2 linked regions of the Pelodiscus sinensis genome follow. The protein of the gene in region 2 purifies or fractionates together with the protein of the main gene of each other region. This does not show direct contact. Links are inferred from orthologs where the notes say so. Each region holds a gene or a part of one and is shown on either strand. Other genes may lie near its edges.

Evidence for each region.
Region 1: the proteins of TRIM33 (region 2) and SKIL purify together in Homo sapiens (affinity purification with western blotting; 4 studies listed by BioGRID and IntAct, with this or other methods). This does not show direct contact. The link is inferred for Pelodiscus sinensis from reciprocal best matches to the Homo sapiens genes TRIM33 and SKIL.

What each region holds. Positions count from the first base shown.
Region 1 is NC_134720.1:38,848,300-38,858,991, reverse strand, and holds the start of SKIL (ski-like protein), read right to left. Parts: upstream 5,003-10,692; 5' UTR 4,861-5,002; intron 4,278-4,860; exon of another isoform or gene 4,212-4,277; intron 3,387-4,211; 5' UTR 2,622-3,386; coding exon 1,515-2,621; intron 1-1,514. UniProt on the Homo sapiens protein: May have regulatory role in cell division or differentiation in response to extracellular signals.
Region 2 is NC_134737.1:760,602-770,643, forward strand, and holds the start of TRIM33 (E3 ubiquitin-protein ligase TRIM33), read left to right. Parts: upstream 1-5,880; 5' UTR 5,881-6,032; coding exon 6,033-6,444; intron 6,445-10,042. UniProt on the Homo sapiens protein: Acts as an E3 ubiquitin-protein ligase. Promotes SMAD4 ubiquitination, nuclear exclusion and degradation via the ubiquitin proteasome pathway. According to PubMed:16751102, does not promote a decrease in the level of endogenous SMAD4.

The DNA.
Region 1 (10,692 bases), on a different chromosome or scaffold from region 2:
CCTGCACTGATGCTTCCCAGGACTTGATTCTAAGGGTGACAACTACCTGTGATATTCATAGCTAGCTGCTGCTCCCACTGAAACTGATGGCAAAACTTGCATCCACTGTAATGGGTGTGTGATCAGGTCTGTAGCTTGCAAGTGGACTGGTAAATGCTTCAAAGAACACAAGGTAGCAACAGGAAAAGGGAAGCATTCACAAACCTCAAAGATTAAACTCTCCCTACAGAGAAATTAATACTTCCACACAAACATACTGACTCTGGTTCAGGTACCAATCACTTGCCCTCACTTCTCTAACTCTCTTGTAACCCGCTTCTTCAAGCACTAATAATTCCTTCCCTACAGCTGTTTAATATTTGGCTAATATGTGTCTTATTATTCAGATTATAAGCTCTTTATGGCACAAACTACCATTTTTATGAAGCATCATATACGCTGTGTCTACACTGGCAAGTTATTCTGGAAAATCAGCCGCTTTTCTGGAAAAACTTGCCAGCTGTCTACACTGGCCGCTTGAATTTCCGGAAAAGCACTGACGATCTAATGTAAAATCATCCGTGCTTTTCTGGAAAAACTATGCTGCTCCTGTTCGGGCAAAAGTCTTTTTCCAGAAAACTGTTCCGGAAAAGGGCCAGTGTAGACAGCACAGTAGTGTTTTCCGCAAAAAAGCCCTAATTGTGAAAATGACGATCAGGGCCACGGATGCTTTTCCGGAAAAAGTGCTTTTGCGGAAAAGCATCCTTCCAATCTAGACGCGTTTTTCCGAAAATGCTTTTAACGGAAAACTTTTCCATTAAAAGCATTTCCGGAAAATCATGCCAGTGTAGATGTAGCCATAGACTTAGAGCACTACTTTTTTGTAATAAAAATATGCCATCCCAACAGTATCGCAAGATGTCAACAAAGAATTCTTAGCTTGCTTAAAGAACCTCTTATGGCATATCTATATTATATATAATCAATGCAATAAAAAAACCCAAACATTACCAAAACTTTCCATTTTTAAATAATATCTTATCAATGCACCATTACCTTAATTGAAAGACTATGGCATGCTATTGGGTGCTTGGCAAGCTAATTGGATATTCGCCATGGATATAGTTAAACTTGCTTTAACTGACCAATACAGAATTAAAGCTGAAGCTCCATTCTTAGGCTCCTTCCTGCTTTGCTTACACATGGCAACATACACTACATATAATATCACACAAAAGTGGCAGATCAAATGAGAGGACAGTATTTCCATAAGGATACTAAAGTCCCTGGTTTTTGCCAGTTTAAAGAAAAAAGGAACCTAGTTTTTTAGTCTAAAATTTTTTTTTGCAAGTTTTGTACCACCATAAAAACCCCAAACAAGAAAGGAATTTTCATTATTGCTTTGTATTATGTGTTGAAGCTTTATAGTAGACTCAGCTTATGCTTAGCTTAATACCTGTTCACATTGATAAAACTGAATACTTTTAAAATAAATTTCATTTTTGATTCAGAAATTTTTCAATAGTCAAACTTACTTTGGATTGTGTTCTTTTCTGATTTTTCATGCTAAACTTCTCCTTCATTTCCTCCAAAAGATGCTTCAGTTCTCTCTCTTCTGAAGTGCCTAAATATTTTTGGTTAACATGAAGATAACAATGCCATTTGGCTGATTCAAAGCCCCAGTGGCAGGTCCTCTTGTCAGGAGATCTATGTGAATGCATCACAAATGTCTGGGGTGAAAACATTCCATAGCACTCCAAACACTGAATACATGGAGCATCCGGCTGAATGTAAAATTGAGGTGCAAACAAACCCTGGCACTTGCCCAAGCACTCATGCTCTACCTCAAAGGCTCTGCCAGTCTCTTTCAGTTGGACCAATGTGTTTTTTGCAGGAAGCAGAGTGCCATTTTGAGGAAAAGTGCGAGGACGCAGTAAAGCATTGCATAGTCTTTGAGCATCAGTCAGTGTGATCAACCCACAGGATGGGGCATTAAATGGAAGGATTCCCAAAACCTTTAGGATATGAAGCTGGTCAGAAGTGCACCTCGAGCAGTATATATACAGTTCATCACACACTGTATTAATTTGCTGTAGTGAAAAATCTCGGAGCACTGAATTCAATACTTGAGGCAGACAGAGTCTCTTTTCCCCTCCAACTTTAAAACAAGAAATAGATTCTCCCTCCAATACAGTCTGAGTGAGCTCTGTAGAACTGTCTGAAGGAATGAGCAATGGGCTAGGAAGTATCTGTGGTGATGGAAGAGGCACAAAGACAGTGGGTGACATGCTTTCCTGGGAATAACGAGCTGAAAAAGCTGCTGGCCCACCCAGTGAACTCTGGCTGCTTAAATGGAACTGTGCCAATGTGTGTTTCAAACCAGGATTTAAATTCAAAGGCTCAGATATTGTAGTACTGTTTGGTTTGGCATTTTCTCCATCAGACTCCATGGGAGTTTCTTCATATTCATCCACATTTTCCTTTTTTATCGTTGGCAATTTATTTACTACAGCTTGTACTTTGCTATTTACATGCTTTTCTGTCATTATTTTTTTTACTGGTGGACTGCCATCTTCTTGGATCCCACACTCTTTTTGGTCAGAACCTGCACTTACAGGGAAATTTGTTTGTGGACTTTCCATCACTGAACCTCAGAATTTTAAATAAATAGGTTTGAAATGTGCATTTTTCTAGTATGTGTTTAATTTGTATTTCTTAAAGACACGCCAATTTCCAAGTACTTTAATTATCTCCTGTCCAGCAGATATTGTGCTATCTCCTTAAAGTGAGGATTTAATCTCACCTCAAGAGCTAAAAATGTAACCTATTTTTCATGTAGCATAAAATTCAAGGGTGGAAGGGTTAAGCAAGAGTTTTCTTTTGCACTTAAATATATGTGTTCAGTTCTTATATTAAAAAAAAAATCTGATTTTCATCAAATTTTTCTTTTAAAAAACATGCTGACTTTTCACTTCATATATGCTTCCATTTAAGTATTAAAATACAAAATCACTTGTTCTCAGACTGAGCAGCACTGGCGTTAATGCAATTCTTCCAAAAGATAATTTTAGTTGTGGGCATGCTTTATGCAGCACATCCCTTTCAACTCACAGGATCGAACACAGAGCTTAGTCACTTTATTTATTGTGCAGCCAAGTTTAAATCACACCTCCAGTGGTGGAGAAATGTATTATGGTAAATCTCTGTTAAGTCCACAAATTAAAGGCTGATCCAGGGTTGCTGGTAGAAACCAAACATCCCTGTAGAATAAGCATCAGTAAAAATTTCCCTAGCATCTGTCAGTTTTCCTATCTCAACTTATTGGCAATGAAAATAAGATCCAGGCCATATACGAGATTCATAGTTTGGACTAATAATACAAATCTCTGGCAATCCTTTTATATAACCTGTAAAAAAAGGAAAAAAATCAGTAATCATTCACATGTGAAGAGTAATACCTTTATCTAAAACAGTCCCTGAATCTTGAAATGTATTCAATATATCACAACTGGAATATGCTCCCTAAATAACTAACTCTTAACTAATTTGCAGAAAGCTTGGATTTAGATATCATAAACCCTATTATGACACATGCATAAACCTGGCACCAGCAGCATCAACATAACTCATTGAGAGTGCTGCAAACATGTGGCAAAGGAGACACATGGGGGAAATCACCTAATCCTTCACCCCATTCAATGCTTTGCAAACTCCAGGGACAGAATCCAGGAAAAAAAGTGTGTGGGGGGTTGTACTTTCAGAGATTGCAGGGCAAGAAAAGGATAAGGGGACAAACTAGCCCCCATTTCCTTGAATATATAACTGAAATTAAAGTATTTCTCCTAACTTCAATCTTCACACTTTTTACAGTTAGTGCAGTTCAAATAAATTCAACATACAGGTAATTAAAACTGAAAACAACCTAGACTCTTTCCCAAACCAGACACTAGGCAACACCCCTACTGCTATCTCTGAGCCAACCTCAGTCTATACGCATGTATTCTTCCAAAGCTCACTCGTTATATTCTCCCTGAAACTAAGGTCCTCCCTCTCCCGTGCTTTCCTCACACAGCGGCCCTCCCTGGAATAACCCCGACATTCACCACCATCCTGTCTCTCTCACACTCCACCCAGACTATGCCCCCCCCCCCCGTGACTCACCTCCACCTCAGTCACACTCAAGCATTACGCACGCTCTGATCGGACAGGACTCCGCCACATACAGGACTTACCCTTCCTCCTTCCACAGACACTCCAAATACTGAAGTGATCCCTCATTCAAACCTACCACTGACTCTTCCACCCCCCCCCCCACCCACACCCCGCCAATTCTCGCGTAGCCCCCGGTTCCCACTGCTCCCTGGCACCGACCCGCAACACAACTTCTCCTCGGACCAATCCACACACACATACACGCTCCCTACCCCCCCCCCCCCCAGGCTCCCCCTCCCCCACACACCCTACCACCCAGCTCTTCACATCACCCCAGGGGACACACACAGCCCACGCGCCTCCCGACCGGAAACAATTCCCTTCCTTCAGAGACTCCCCACATTACCCCCCCCCCGCTTGTGGGGTCACCCTCCCCCACAACGCCCCCCCCTTCCACTAAGCTCCATCCCCCACAGACAGTCCCCCAGCTGGGGAATACTGCTCCCTCCCACACAGACGCCTCTGGACTAACCCCTCCCCCCGCACAGACACTCTGCCCCCGCAGACAATCAGCCCCCCCCCCCCCCGTCTCCTCCCTGGATTTGTCCCCTTCCCCCCACAGACACTCCTACCCCTCTCATGAATAGCCTCCCCTCCCCCTCGCCGCCGCGCACGCTCTCCGTACCCCCCGCTGCACCGCCCCGCCGGCAGCAGGCCCCGGCTCCTCACCCTGCATCGTGGGGACCCCGACACCCCAACAGTGGAACAGAAGCCGCGCACGCACCGCCCACCCGTGACCTCACTGCGGAGACGGCGGCGCGCGGGCACCAACCCGGCGGGTGCGCGCCCCCGCCTCCAGCCCCGCCCACTGTCTGGGGTAGCGCCGCGGCGGCTGCCAGCGGCTTCCCCTCCCCCCAGGCACAGCGAAAGCTGGTGTCGCGTCGGGGGCGGAACCTCGCCTTCCTCCCCACACGGCGCCTCCCCCCCCCCCCCCGCCCGGACAGAGCCAGGCACGGAAGCGGGTCTACACATGACCTGCTCCTTCAGCCCCCCCTTCGGTCATTGACCCCAGGGGCCCCCACCCCTATGCAGCTTCCCCCCCCCCCCCACGATCCCATAGCGACCCCATCTTTGCCCCATGCTCCCTAACGCCAGGAGAGCCCCAGCCAGGTGCCTTCCACATAGACCATCCCCCACAGCGGCTCTCCACATTACACCAGCTGCGTCTTGCCTTACAACTCCCAACGAGCCCCCTTTTCCACAGCAAGCCCTGCCCCACTGACCCCCTCTTCCCACAGAGAAGCTCTGAGACCCACCTCAAAGCTATCCCGCTTCTCAGCCAGCCCTGCATCCACACGCAGGGGCCAGTGTGTCCCTTCCTCCTTGTGTTGGCCTCCAGAGTCAGTCTGTACAAAGGCCCCCATTGTGTCACACAAAGCTGATTCCTGCTTCACCATAGTGACTCTCCCCCTCCAGGGGTGAAAGTAACTTACATTTTTAGAGGTACTCTTTTATTGCCCCCCGGGGGGGGAGATCAGGGCAGGGGTGCAATATGACAGTATCCTTTAGAGAGGGCAGGAGGTGAGGGGGTGTGAGGCCCACCCCATTCCTATCCACACTGCTCCTTGCTGTTCCTTTAAGGGAGGGGAAAGCACACAGCATGTGTCACTCACTCCTTTGCCTCCTTCTCCTCCCCAGCCAGGAGGGACAGGAATGCAGCTGGATACTTGCTTCCTGGGAATCGTCTATACGGTAGCATTCCAAAATAACAAAGAGCACGTCTGCACTACAAACCTTTATTTCACAATAATGTCAAGCTGAGAACTTCTTACTCCAACTCCTGTAACCCTCATTTTAGGAGGAGTAAGGGAAGTTGAAGAAAGAGTGTTATTCCTTCAACTTCCTGCTATGGAGACAGCGCCTAAAGTTGAGTTAAGCTATTTTGACTTAAACTACACAGTTGACGTAGCTGAAGTTACATAGCTTAAGTCGACATTAGCCATGCTGTATAGACATACCCTGAGAGTGAGGGAAGTAGAACAAAGCCCCTGCCCTGTCCCTAAAGGGTGCAGAAAGGGAGGGTTTTCTGGTTTCCTGCTGCTTACTATAGCAATCTAAAGGAGAGCCAGGGGAACCCAGCTGGACATGCACCCTCCAGTCCAGCAGCCCAGACAGCTTTTTCTGGAGCAGAGCACTGAGGTACACCGCCTTACTTTCACCTCTGCTCCCCACCCAGCAAACTTCCCTTGAACTCCTAAACAAAGCCCATCTCCCTCTCCACTGCTCATGGCGACCTCTCTGATACCCTTCCAGGGCCCTCCACCAAAAAGACTGCCCTCCTTCCCAAACATGTACAATGCAAAACCCCCTTTCCTCCATTTTGAGACAAAGATGGAGACCTGGGTGAAGGGTTGGAATCTGGGGGTGTTATAGCTGGGGTAAAGGAGAGAAGAGACAACACACTTCCCACCCTGCCAGCCCCCTGCCACCAGCCCCAGCTGGGGCTGCATTCCTCACTCCAACAGCCCCACTGCCAGCTGTCCCAACCCCGCTGCTAGCTCACCACTGCACCAGCCTGGGCTGTGCTCCCAGCGACCCGCCTGGCAAGGGCTCCTGACCACCAAACCTGCTGCCGCTGGTCAGGGCTTTGCTCCTGACCCTGGCTGCCTTTGCTCCCAGATGCGCTGTTTGGTCCAACAATATCCATGTCCTACCAGACCAGAAAGCACAGGATTTCAGAGGTTCAACCTGTACAAACAACCAAAAGAGGAAGAGGAGGTGGATGAGGATTTTTATAAACAACTAACAAAATGATACAAAGCACAGGACTTGGTGGTGATGGTGGACTTTAACTACGTAGACATCTATTGGGAAAATAACACAGGAGAGCATAGATTATCCAACCAAATTCTTGGACTGTATTGGAGACAATTATTATTACACAAAGTGGAGAAAGCCACAAAGGGAGACGTTCTAGATTTGATTTTCACAAATAATGAAGTATTTATAGAGAATTTTAAAGTGGAAGGCAACTTGGGTGAAAGCAATCATGAAATGATAGCATTCATGATTATAAGGAATGATAAAAGGGAAAACATCACCATAAAGAAAATGGATTTCAAGAAAGCAGACTTATAGCAAAATCAGGGATTGGTAGGTAAGATCCATTGGGAAGCAAGTTTAACAGGGGAAAAAAGTTGAAGTCAGTTGGTAGTTTTTCAAAGAGATATTGTTAGGGGCACACGAACAAATTATAGGAAAGATAGGAAGTACAGAAAGAGACTGTCTTGGCTTAACCAGAAGATATTCAGTTAACTGAAACTCAATAAAAGAATCCCACAAACGGTGAAAACTAGGTCATAGAATCAAAGAATCATAGGGTTGGAAGAGACCTCAGGAGGTCATCAAGTCCAAACCCAAATAGACTCTACACCACCAGAAATAAAACCTGTTTCCATCTTTTGTGACTTTCAGTTAGATGTGACTCACTATCCTCTGCTTAGTGTTCAAGTTATGGTAGACCCTAAGCCAGGTCATATTAAGTTCAGGTCTTTAATCTTTTAATCATACAATATGGATAACAACATTTCATTCTCCCAGCTCCAAGTCTTAAGTGAATTTCAACCCAAAAGAGCCAGAATTGATCACCTTGACACAGGTGGACTGTGTCTACACTGGCAAGTTTTTCCGGAAAATCAGCCGCTTTTCTGGAAAAACTTGCCAGCTGTCTACACTGGCTGCTTGATTTTCTGGAAAAGCAATGACGATCTACTGTAAGAAATCAGCCGCTTTTCCAGAAAAGCTTTGCCGCTCCCGTTCGGGCAAAAGTCCTTTTTCCGGAAAACTGTTCCGGAAAAGGGCCAGTGTAGACAGCTAGCTACCGCTTTTCCGAAAAAACAGAAGAAACGGAAAAAAGCGGTTTGGACGCCTGGAGACCCCGTAGGAGCCCTGGACTTCCTGGTAACCCAAGCTCTTAAAGCAGTCGCAGGCTGCTGAGCGCACGTGGCAGAAGCGGGCCTCAGGCCTGCCACTGAGCTCTGCCACAGCGCCCCTGTCCTGCCCAGCCAAGCCTCACAAGCCAGCCATGGCAGCTCCTGGTGGTGAGCCCCCTGCACTCCCAGCTCAGGAGGCCCCCAGAGGCCGCAAAAGGCGGGCTCCCTCTGGACCCCCAGGGAGCTGGAGATCCTCCTGGACCTCTGGCAGGAGGAGGATGGTCTCCATGACATCCGGTCCTGGCGCCGGAATGTCGACATCTTTGTCCGGATGGCCGAGGCTCTGACCCAACAGGGATACCCTGCCCGGAACAGCGAGCGAATCCAGGCAAAAGTTAAGGAGCTCCAGCTGGGGTACGTGCGGGCCAGCAAGGGCAGGGGGGCAGGACCAGACACCTGCCCCCATTACGACTGGCTGCATGCCATCCTTGGGCAGCCAGCCCTGCAAGGCCCGGACGTGCCCGTGGACACCTGCCAGCGCCCCCCCCCCCGTCATCCGAAACACTGAGGCAGGGGAAGGAGAGAACAGTGGTGGCGCTTCAGGAGAGGAGGCCAGCGTTGCCATCCAGCAGGCCCCCTCCAGCAGCTCCTCCTCCGGGGAAGGATCCACTGGTGAGTCTTTGCAGTTTGCACTCACAAGGGCGGAGGGCGGAGGGCGGGGGGGGGGGGGGGGGGGGCGAGAGCCAGGCACCTGGAGTGGGGAGGGGGAGAGCATGCCACTCAGGCCACGTGAGTTGCATGCTGTGTAGCATTAGGCAGCAAGCAGCACGTGCAACCACATGCAGCCTGGTGACCAAGCAGCACGTGGCCGCAGCAGGCAGCTGCAGGGCACGCCTAGGACTGTGCTGCTCACACACATTCGGCGAGACCAGGGGAAAGGGTGGATGCCAGCTGGAATCAGCCAAGGCCCCAGGGACTCAGCCCAGAGCCCTCACCTCCGCCAAGGGTGCAGCACAGAGAACTGCACACTGTCCCATGCCTGGCTGTGAGGCACAGCCAGCTGCTCTTGGGTACACCGCAGCATCACAGTCCTGTGAGCGTGGCCCCCACCGAGCCCCTCACTTGCTCCCGGTGCCTTGGCTGACTCCCCGAGGGAAGTCCCCACTGTGGCTACACATGTCCCTGGGCTACCGGGGTTGTGGGAGGGATAGTGGGAGGGAGAAGGCCCGCCCTGAGTTTTGCTGCAAGGATGGGACACCCCCTTTCCCCAGTCACTCTTCTGGTTCCGCCCAGGAGATATCCCACACGATGGGATCTGAGAGCCCAGACCACCTCTGCCAGATGTGCTCCCAGGCACTGTGTGGGGATGCATCTCGCTCCCTGTCAAACACCAGTGATTAGCCCAAAGCTTCAGTCTCCACCAGCAGGGAGTTCCACAGGTGAACGCAACACAAGCACCCTCCCGCCCTCCACGGGGCCAGGACACAGACCGGTGGTTACAATACTGGAGGAGGGCCCTACTCCAGGGGCGGTCCTCCTTGCAAACATACAACACAGGGGGCAGGAGGGGAACCAAGTGGGCCCAAGCCACACAACTGTGGGGTCACCTGGGCTCAGGGGTGGAGGGCATGAGGTGTGGGGGGGGTGGAGGGCCTGCCTGACTGACCCATCCTTTCTTCTCTTCCCTACAGCGGGACCGAACACAAGACCCTCCAGTCCAGCAGCAGAGGCACCCCCAGCTGGCCAACCCCGGAGGCGCTGGCTCCGACACCAGGACCAGCTGCTTCGCCGCCACATTGTAGCGGTGGAGGCAATCCAGGCCTCCATTCGCGAGCGTGTGCAGGGGGACCTGCAGTGGCGGCAGGCGGCCTGGGGTGCCTTCCAGGCACAGTGTACAAGGATGGCCGACTACATGGCCATCCTCACTACACACTTTGTGCACGCCGTACATTATAGCATGGCTGTACCCCATGCCCCCTCCTGCCCCTGCAATGGCCCCTGCTCCTATCCCAGCTCCTGCCCCTGCTCCTGCCCACCTCCCTGTGCGGCCTGCCCCGCATGTGCAGGTCTGCCCCCGAAGGAACGCTCGCAGGGGCCACCCGTCCCAGTAGCTCCTCCCCCTCCCCGTCCCAGTTGAAGGTCTCCTCCCCCTCCCCCTTGTAAATAAAAAGTCTATTTTTCAGTTGATTCTTGTGTGGTTATTGTGTTACTCGAGGTAACTGTAAGAAATGCTTTGAGATGCCAATTAGCCACCTAAATTTAAAAGGGTTACAAACTGTGGACACCAAATTCTGTATTCTGTCACCGGGGGTCCTTTTTAAGTGGCCATTGGTTTGTGGTTCATAAATAAATACTGAGACTTTTCAGTAAAATTTAAACCACAAACTATATTTAACACAGATAACAAACAAGCAAGAAAGGTTAAAAGACGCACACTAAAGATTATGTAAACATAGTCTAGGCGCAGGGAGGATGATTGGTAGTGTTGCTGGCAAACTCAATCCTTTGGTCCTTCCGGGCCTTGGGAGAGGAACAGCCAGGAGATCCCTCAAAGATGACTGGAATCAGGTACGCTGACTTGAGCCTTCCGCACGAACCCTGAATCCTCTTCCCTGTTCTTCGGGACAGG
Region 2 (10,042 bases):
GCCTTAGAGTGCTGGTCCATGTACATTCCAATTGTTTGTTTGTGTGTGCGTGCGTGCACAGAAACCAGAAGATTTTTGCCTGGTAGCATCCATTGGATTAGTCTGTGTGTCCTCTGGAATGCTACCATTATGGTGGCTAATATATAGCCTTGTTAACCCACCAATCCCCCAGTTCCTTATTACTGCCTGGTGATGGCAGCTGGATTGTCTCGCTTTTGCAAATGCAAGTACTCCTAATTGTATCTTAGTGTAAATAGTTATTAATTATTAGTTAAATTTATTAGAAGTTAAAACTGTGCTAGGAAGTAATTCTCCCTTCCCCTCTTTTCCCCCATACCAGGGTGCACGCCTCATTCTCCGGGGTTTTAATCTTGCCAGGCTTGCAGCAGTCTTATGCCCAAAAGTGACTCTACACATGTTTGAAGAGTTTGGGTGAGGGTCACCAGAAAGAAGGTGCTGCCTTTGCAAGAATTTCCTGCCACGAACCCTTAAGGATCATGAGGAGAGACTCAGGTTACCACTTAGGGAGGGTGCACTTGTCCAAGAGGCTTGTTAGAACATAAGAACGGCAATACTGGGTCAGATCAAAGGTCCATCCAGCCCAGTACCCTGTCTGCCGACAGTGGCCAATGCCAGGTGTCCCAGAGGGAGTGAATCGAACAGGTAATGATCAAGCGATCTCTCTCCTGCCATCCATCGCCACCCTCTGACAGACAGAGGCTAGGGACACCATTCCTTACCCATTCTGGCTAATAGCCATTTATGGACTTAACTTCCATGTATTTATCGAGTTCTCTTTTAAACCCTGTTCTAGTCCTAGCCTTCACAACCTCCTCAGGCAAGGAGTTCCACAGATTGATTACGCACTGTGTGAAGAAGAACTTCCTTTTATTTGTTTTAAACCTGCTGCCCATTAGTTTCATTTGGTGACCCCTAGTTCTTATATTAAGGGAACAAGTAAATAACTTTTCTTTATCAGCCCTCTCCACACCAGTCATGATTTTATAGACCTCTATCATATCCCCCCTCGGTCTCCTCTTTTCTAAACTGAAAAGTCCCAGTCGCTTTAACCTCTCCTCATAGGGGACCCGTTCCAAACCCCTAATCATTTTAGTTGCCCTTCTCTGAACCTTTTCTAATGCCAGTATATCTTTTTTGAGATGAGGAGACCACATTTGTACGCAGTATTCAAGATGTGGGCGTACCATGGATTTATATAAGGGCAATAAGATATTCTCCGTCTTATTCTCTATCCCTTTTTTAATAACTTTTTTGACTGCCGCTGTCCACTGAATGGACGTCTTCAGAGAACTATCCATGATGACTCCAAGATCTGTTTCTTGATTAGTTGTAGCTAAATTAGCCCCCTTCATATTATATGTATAGTTGGTTATTTTTTTCCAATGTTCATTACTTTACATTTATCCATATTAAATTTCATTTTCATTTTGTTGCCCAGTCACTTAGTTTGGTGAGATCTTTTTGAAGTTCTTCACAGTCATCTTTGGTCTTAACTACCTTGAGCAGTGTAGTCTCGTCTGCAAACTTTGCCACCTCACTGTTTACCCCTTTCATAGTCCATGAAAGTTGTTCTTTAATTTTCTGTCTTCTGTGTGATTGTGCCATTTGTGTTGCTGTTAATGTGCAGCAGGAAGATATTATGTAATGAAATAACTATATACTTTGTCTATTTAAAAGTGAACAGCAACACAACCTGTCACCAAAGCCTGTTCATAATATCAATATTTATGTAGGTTCAGGCTGCTGGCTAGAAGGGCAGTACACCCACATCCACTTTTAGGAAGTAAGGAAAAACTTAATCTGAACCAGTCCCCTGGGGAAAACAAAAGGCAGACAGCTGATGAAGAATATGAAACACTGGATGGGTATGTGAAAAATGAGATAAAAGCAGGAAGGAACTGGGCAACAATCTATAGTGTTGGTCCTAAATTTAACAGTTTTGAGTTAATCTAAACTAATTTTTAATTCCCATCATGTGGTTCAGAGATTAAGGATCACAACTCACAATTTCAATGCTATGCTCATTTAGTAAATTATTTTTTGGAACTCCAGATAGTAATCTTAAAAGCAGGTTTTTGCTTATTCTTAACCAATTAGTATTTATTTATTCATTCATTCACTGCAGACAATAGTGGTTTTCAGTAGGTTAAGTGTTAATCAAATGAGCACATAAGCTAGGTGTCTTAACAGTATAACCTGAAAAGGAAGAAGGAAATTACTGTGATTTGACTTAAAATTATTAGTACAAAATGCAAATGAAAAAATATCCTGTAATCTATCAGCAAGTAATATGTTTCCGATGAGGTAATTTATAAGAAATAAGGAGTTGGTCAAATTAGTCGAAACAATAGTAAAGAATAAAATTGTGCAGCATGTAGAAGAACATAATTTGTTGGACAAAAGTCAACATGGTTTCTGTAAAGGGAAATCCTGTCTTACTAATCTATTAGAGTTCTTTGAAGGGGTTAACAAGCATGCGGATAAGGGGGATCCAGTAGATATAGTATACTTGGATTTTCAGAAAGCCTTTGACAAGGTCCCTCTGACAAGGTCCCTCACCAAAGGCTCTTGTGTAAATTACATGGCCATGGGATAAGAGGGAAGGTCCTTTCTTGGATTGCGAACTGGTTAAAAGACAGGAAGCAAAGGGTAGGAATAAATGGTAAATTTTCAGATTGGAGAGGGGTAACTAGTGGTGTCCCCCAAGGGTCAGTTCTGGGACCAATCCTTTTCAACTTATTCATAAATGATCTGGAGAAAGGGGTAAGCAGTGAGGTAGTAAAGTTTGCGGATGATACCAAACTGTTTAGGATAGTCAAGACAGAAGCAGACTGTGAGGGACTCCAAGAAGATCTCACCAAACTCAGTGATTGGGCAGCAAAATGGCAAATGAAATTTAATGTGGATAAGTGTAAAGTAATACACATTGGGAAAAATAATCCCAACGATATGTACAGTATGATGAGGGCTAATTTGGCTACGACAAATCAGGAAAGAGATCTTGGTGTTATCGTGGATAGTTCCCTGAAAACTTCCACACAGTGTGCAGCGGCGGTCAAAAAGGCAAATAGGATGCTAGGAATTATTAGGAAAGGGATAGAAAATAAGACGCAGAATATCTTACTGCCCCTGTATAAAACTATGGTTGAATACTGTGTACAGATGTGGTCTCCTCACCTCAAAAAAGATATTTTGGCCTTGGAAAGGGTTCAGAAAAGGGCAACTAAGATGATTAGGGGTTTGGAACGGGTCCCATATAAGGAGAGGTTAAAGCAACTGGAACTTTTCAGTTTAGAAAAGAGGAGACTGAGGGGGGATATGATAGAGGTCTATAAAATCATGAGTGGTGTGGAGAGGGTGAATAAAGAAAAGTTATTTATTAGTTCCCATAATAGAAGAACTAGAGGACACCAAATGAAATTAATGGGTAGCAGGTTTAAAACTAATAAAAGAAAGTTCTTCACACAGCGTGTAGTCAACCTGTGGAACTCCTTGCCAGAGGAGGCTGTGAAGGCTAGGACTATAACAGAGTTTAAAGAGAAGCTAGATAATTTCATGGAGGTTAGGTCCATAAAAGGTTATTAGCCAGGGGATAAAATGGTGTCCTTGGCCTCTGTCTGTCAGAGGCTGGAGAAGGATGGCTGGAGACAAATCGCTTGATCATTGTCTTCGGTCCACCCTCTCTGGGGCACCTGGTGTTGGCCACTGTTGGTAGACAGGATACTGGGCTAGAAGGACCTTTGGTCTGACCCAGTACAGCCGTTCTTATGACTTCTAGTAGTTCACGCTATTTATCATTCTGTACAAAATGAAACCTTTTAGGTTTCAGGCAAATACAAGGCCAAGACAAATGTATGAGCAACTGTTTCAGAGGAACTGTCATTTTTCTACTCTCTGCTAAGCTTATTTGGGTTTGTAAGATTCACAAATCAATACATGTCTTGGCCTGTAATTGGCCCTCAACTGATTCCTTTGATAAGTGAAAGATCCAAATAGAAAGACCTTGCCTATAATTTTTTAATGAGTGAATAAGAGGCAACTTTTAAATTGTACCATTCCTCTGCACTGCTGGTTCATGATTCAGGGGGTAGAGAGGATAATGGTTCTGTCTGTTCCTTTGCATTCAAGCCCGGTTTCCCAACCGGGGTTCCGCAGACCATCATCAGGGGTTCCGTGAGAAATCGTGGAATAAATAACGCTGGGCGGGGCCTGGAGCATCTGTGTTGCCCTTCCTCTCCTGCTTGATTGACTTCTGCGCTGCTCAGGTGGGCTGCTGTGTGGGAGCAAGCAGCCATTTGGGCTCCGTGAGTGAGAGGCAGGAGTGGGAGGAGAGGAGAGAGAGTGAGGCAGGAGGGGGAGGATATTTGATATTTGAAAAAAAAATTAGATAATACAAAAAAAGACAGGAAAAATACTCCAGTTTTTTTTCTTACAATGTAAGCTCAGACGCACAACAGCTCTTTACAAATAAATGTTCTTGAAAAAAATTAGCAGTGATTGAATTGTGCTCCCCGCTGTCAACTTTTTCTGGCCAAGCAAATGTTTTCATAGGTACGGGTTCCTCGGGATTTGAAAAATTATTTTAGGGGTTCCTCCATGGGAAAAAGGTTGGGAATCACTATAGTAAGGGTTAGTCATGAACTACATGGGTCACTGCAGGCAGGGCAACATGAATTGCATTGCCAGTGGGTCACCTAGCTGAGAGAGAGACAACAGTGGGATGCTGTAGATTGGGCTGTTTGGTTTCTTTTCTTGGTGTTTGACTAGTAAGTGTTTGCAGGCAGTGAAAACAAATATAGCTATACCCCTATTTGGTTCATTGACAGAGACAAACCAGGTCCTCAGTGTAATGCCATTAGCCCCCATGCATTGAGCTGAAAGCCCCAAACACCTGGCAGACGGGCTGCAGCTTAGTCAAACTTTGTTGTGAACTTATCCCTCAGGCCACTCTTGTTGATGCTTATGGACACCACGGAGCTGCTTTGTTCCATCTGCTGTCAAAGGAGTTGAGCCTGCTATGGCTGGGGCTGGGCAAGAGATGTCTGTGGGCAGCCAAGGAAAGAAAGACTCCTAATCCCGTAGACAGGCCTGAGTGCAGAGAGACCCCCCAGTGGAGAAGCCCCCCGGGAATGGACAGGCTTGAGTGGAGAGCAACACGCACCATGGACAGGCCAGCGCACAGAGCCCCTTGTGCCCCCAGCGCTGGGCCTCGCTCACGCAGGCTCGGTGCACAGCTTGGCCTGGTTCCCAGCGGCCCCGGGGGGCTCCGGGCAGCTCCAAGTCTCTGTGGCTGGGCTGGCAGGCTCCCAGGCAGGGGGTGCCCCCCCTGCATGGACTCCACTGATCCCATTGGCTGGAATCAGGGCCAATGGGAGCAGGGGGGCCTGCCCATGCCTGGAGCCACAGGGCCTGCTGCTGGGGGGGGCTACCTGCACCCTGAAAGTCCTGCCCAGCCCCACCCCTGTGCAAATGAGCGATGGGGGCGGGGCAAGGGGCCTTGGTTTTGTACCCCTGCCTGGCCGTCAGCCCCTGGCACTGGCGGAGGGGTGAGAAAGGTTCCCCCCCAGGAGTGGGCCGTGCCGCTGCCTATCACGCTCCCCGCAGTGGCAGTTGGCTGCCGTGGCTCGGCCGCTTGGAAGCTGATTGGCGGCGGCCCCTAGCGCAGCCCACGGCGCAGCCAGTCGGGCGTCGAGCTGCAGCGCGAGCCTGGCGAAGTCGCAAGGAAGCCCCGCCCCTTCCCTCCCGGCGGCGCAGCAGCTCTGGCTCCACTCAGGGCGGAGCTTCACGTGCACGCGCATGCGCCGCCGCTCCACAGGACCCCGCCGCGCGCGTCCCCTTTGCCGCGGCGGCTCGGCCCGGCACGTGCTCAGCCCCGCCCCTCCGCCGCCTGCCGCGTAGCTGGCGGGCACGAGCCCGCAGCGCGTGCGGGGAGCCCGGTGACGCGGGGCGTGCGGGCGCAGGCGCGGCGCGGTGCGTGCGCGGAGCGGGGAGTCGGGTTCAAAGGAGGAAACATGGCGGAAAACAAAGGAGGCGGCGGGGAGGGGGCCGCGGATCCCGGCCCGGTCGGCCAGGAGCCCGCGGCCGCGTCCCCCCCCGGCCCCGCCCCGCTCGCGCCCGCGGCCGCCCCGCCCGAGGAGCGCGAGAGCCCCGGCGCGGCGGCCGAGAAGGGCCCGGCCGAGGCGGAGGCGGAGGCCGCGGCGGGCCCGGGCCCGAGCCCGGTGCCCCCCCTGCCGGCGGCCGCGCCGGGCCCGCTGTCGCTGCTGGACACCTGCGCCGTGTGCGCGCAGAGCCTGCAGAGCCGGCGCGAGGCCGAGCCCAAGCTGCTGCCCTGCCTGCACTCCTTCTGCCGCCGCTGCCTGCCCGAGCCCGAGCGCCAGCTCAGCGTGCCCGTGCCGGGCGGCGCCAACGGCGACATCCAGCAAGGTGAGGCCTGGCGCGAGCCCTCAGGCCGGCGCTGCCATCTTGCGCGGCAGGGAACGGTCAGCGCGGAGCCTCTGCCCCGCGCAGCGCTGCGTGTGAGGGGCCTGTAGCTGCCTGCGCCACAGCGCACCCGACGCGCGGCCCGGCAAGGTGACGGTCTTGCCCTTGTTAGAACTGAGAACTTTGTTGGCAAGTCTTCTCCGCTCCGGTCTGCACTAGGGAGTCTCGGTTATTTCAAAATAATGAGCAGCAAGTCCACATTACCAAGCCCTTTATTTCTAAATAGTGGGCTGGTTATTCAAAATCTGAACTTCTGCTTTCCTTGGGGAATAACGCTTATTTTGAAATAACTATTTTGAAATTGTGGTAGTGTGGACACTCCACTGCTGCTATTTCGAAATAACTACTCCCCAGACTAATTCAAAGTAAGCTTCGGGGATAGCCAAGTTAGTTTGTACAGGGTAAACTTAAAAAAATAACAAATAGTCTGGTAGCACTTTAAAGACTCTCAAAACATGTAGACAGTATCAGAGGGTATCATGAGCTTTCGTGGGCACAGCCCACTTCTCCAGAGATGATCTGAAGAAGTGGGCTGTGCCCACGAAAGCTCATGATACCGTCTACATGTTTTGTGCGTCTTTAAAATGCTACCAGACTATTTGTTGTTGTTTTTTTAAGAAAATTCAAAGTAATTACTCCCCTGTGCTTTCCTGGGGCTCTAAGTTGAGGTAGAGCATCCCCATTCATGGAGCTTGCCTTGGACTAGTTTCAAAGCTCCCTTAAATAGGGGACACATTATTTCGATTTTGTTATTTCAGGACTAATTTCAAATTTTCTTATTTCAAAATAATTTCCTAATGTAGACATGCCCTCAAAGAGTTTTGTCTCTGGAAGTTTATAATATGAATGTCAAGTAGCAATTTGAAGAAGTTAACTTCATTTGAATCCAGATTATTATTTGGTTTCTGGCTAGAAAAATTTACATGCTCACATTAAATGATGCTGTGTCCGATGGTGTAATATCTTCATGCTCCATTAACATTGGGATAAACAATGGGATTTATTTCTAAACTTGATTAAAATTGAATTTTGTCATGTTTTGAAATTTTCTGGTTTTAGATATTTAACTTAACTATTTGTAAAAACTGCTTTTAAAGTGGTATTTTGGTTAGTGTCAGTGCTTTTTTGTGTATTTTAAAAAAAAAGTACCAGTACTCCACGGGAAAAGTTGTTGAGCTCTGCCTGGAGGTGCTGGTACTGTGTCTGGAGGTATGTAGTACCATCACACAGAAAGCATTGGTTAATGTTCTTTTTAACCAATCTGGGGAACACTTACTTGAGGCCCGTTTTCCAGTTTTACAACTGTTAAAAATATTGCTTACTTAGGTGAAATCTAATTAACCTAAATGGAGCTCTTTGTAAAATGCTATTTATCTTCATCTATACGTAACAATAACAGTGTCATTCTTTTCATGACTGAAACATTTCAGACATTTCTGTTTACAAATCAAATTGCTGCTGCTGCTCCTTTTAATAAAACTTGGTTTGGCCTTAGTCATCAATGAGTACTTTTGGCATGTATTAACGACCTTAGGTTAGAAACACCCATAAATATTTGTATGTGATGTGCACATGGTATGTGTACACAGTTAGGTTCAGAGCTTCAGCTATGCACATATGGTTGACAAAGCAGTGGTTTTCAGCCAAGGTATGTGTACTTCTGGGTTTACACAAAGACAGTATATCAACAGGCTATGTGAAAAGCACTAGTAGAATCAGTACAAAGTAAAATTTCATTTCCAGTGTTATACTATACACTGAAATATAAATACAGACCAATATTTATATTCCACTTGATCTTTTTTATAATGGTATGGTAAAAATGAGAAAACAAGCAATTTTTTGTACTAATGTTCTGTAAGTTTGCCTGATTATGTGTGTGTCTGATTTTGTAAGTAAGATGAAACTTGGGGGAGACACAAACAAATCAGGCTCTGGAAGAGAGTACAGTAGGTTGGAAAGTTTGAGATCCTCTGATCTGCAGTATAAACTGATGAATACAGTAGTTCACACTTTGCCAACTGGTCCACCTTTTAACCTTGCCTGTTCTGTACATTATACATGTGTCTCATGATTATGTGAATAAGAGCTGAACTTGTGCATTCTCTGTTGTGTGCTCTTGTTGAGTACACATCTTGAATTTTTCTTTGGATTGCAGGAAAAGTATAGAGAACTCATCAGATGTTGTAGAACATGGTATCAGGTGGTCCATCTTAAAATGAAAGGTGATTAACTGTACTTTGAAAATGCTATTTGGAGGATTCTGACACACCTGATGGTCTTTTGCTGAGCCTAGAGTCTACATTTTCCGTACTATAGAGAATGTACACTAATAAAGGATGTAGAATATTAAGCCAAATGTTGCATGCTTTAACAATAGCATGCCCAGCTAAACAAGTGTAGAGAATTAGTAAAGAGTAATTTCTGCAGAAAATAATTGAGGCTGGAAAATACATTCCAATTCTCTTGAAGAACACTCATATTTTGTGCAGGTGTAAAAGGCTTTATAACTGTTTGGGGCAACTTAGATGCATAACTGATGTGTAAATTGAGATGTATAAATACAGGCAGTCCCCGACTTACGTCGGATCCGCACTTACAAACTGGGATTTTCTCGCCCCGGAGCTCACGGGCGGCGAGTCGCCACCCGTGTCCTCTGGGGCGAGAAAAGCTTCTCCCGGTCTCCCTGGTCTGCTGGGGGGGTCCAGCAAAGCCGCTGGACCCCCCCAGCAGACCAGGGACACCCGAGCAAAGCCTCGGAGCACGCAAGCAGTGGGACAGCCGCGGTGCGCCTGGACTGTCCCGCTGCCCGCGTGCTCTGCGGCTTTGCTCCACGTCTCCCAGGTCAGCAGACCAGGGAGACGGAGCAAAGCCGTGGAGGACTTGGGCGGTCCCGCCACCCCCGTCTCCCTGGTCTGCTGGGAGGGGCGGGGGTGCAGCTAGTGCCCCCCCCAGCAGACCAGGCTTTTCTTGCCTACCCTTGGGGTAGAGCAGCTGGGGGCTGCCGGGTTGGTCCCGCAGCGCCGCTCCGGACCAACCTGGCAGCACCCCAGCTGCTCTGCCCCAGGCGTCCTGATTCAGCCGCTGCTGGTCAGTTTCAGCAGCGGCTGAATCAGGACGCCTGGGGCACAGCAGCTGGGGTGTTGCTGGATTGCTCCAGTAGCGCCAAGGAGCCGCGGAGCAACCCAGCAGCACCCCAGCTGCTCTGCCCCAGGGGTCCCCAAGTCAGCTGCTGCTGAAACTGACCAGTGGCTGACTACAGGAAGCCCGAGGCAGAGTTGCTCTGCCCCAGGCTTCCTGGAATCAGCCGCTGATCAGTTTCAGCAGCAGCTGACTTGGGGACGCCTGGGTTTCTTAAGTTGAATCTGTATGTAAGTCAGAACTGGCATCCAGATTCAGCCCCAGTTGAAACTGATCAGTTTCAGCAGCGGCTGATGCCAGTTCTGACTTACATACAGATTCAACTTAAGAACAAACCTACAGCCCCTATCTTGTACGTAACCCGGGGACTGCCTGTATCCAGTACTGTGGTTCGTTTGGC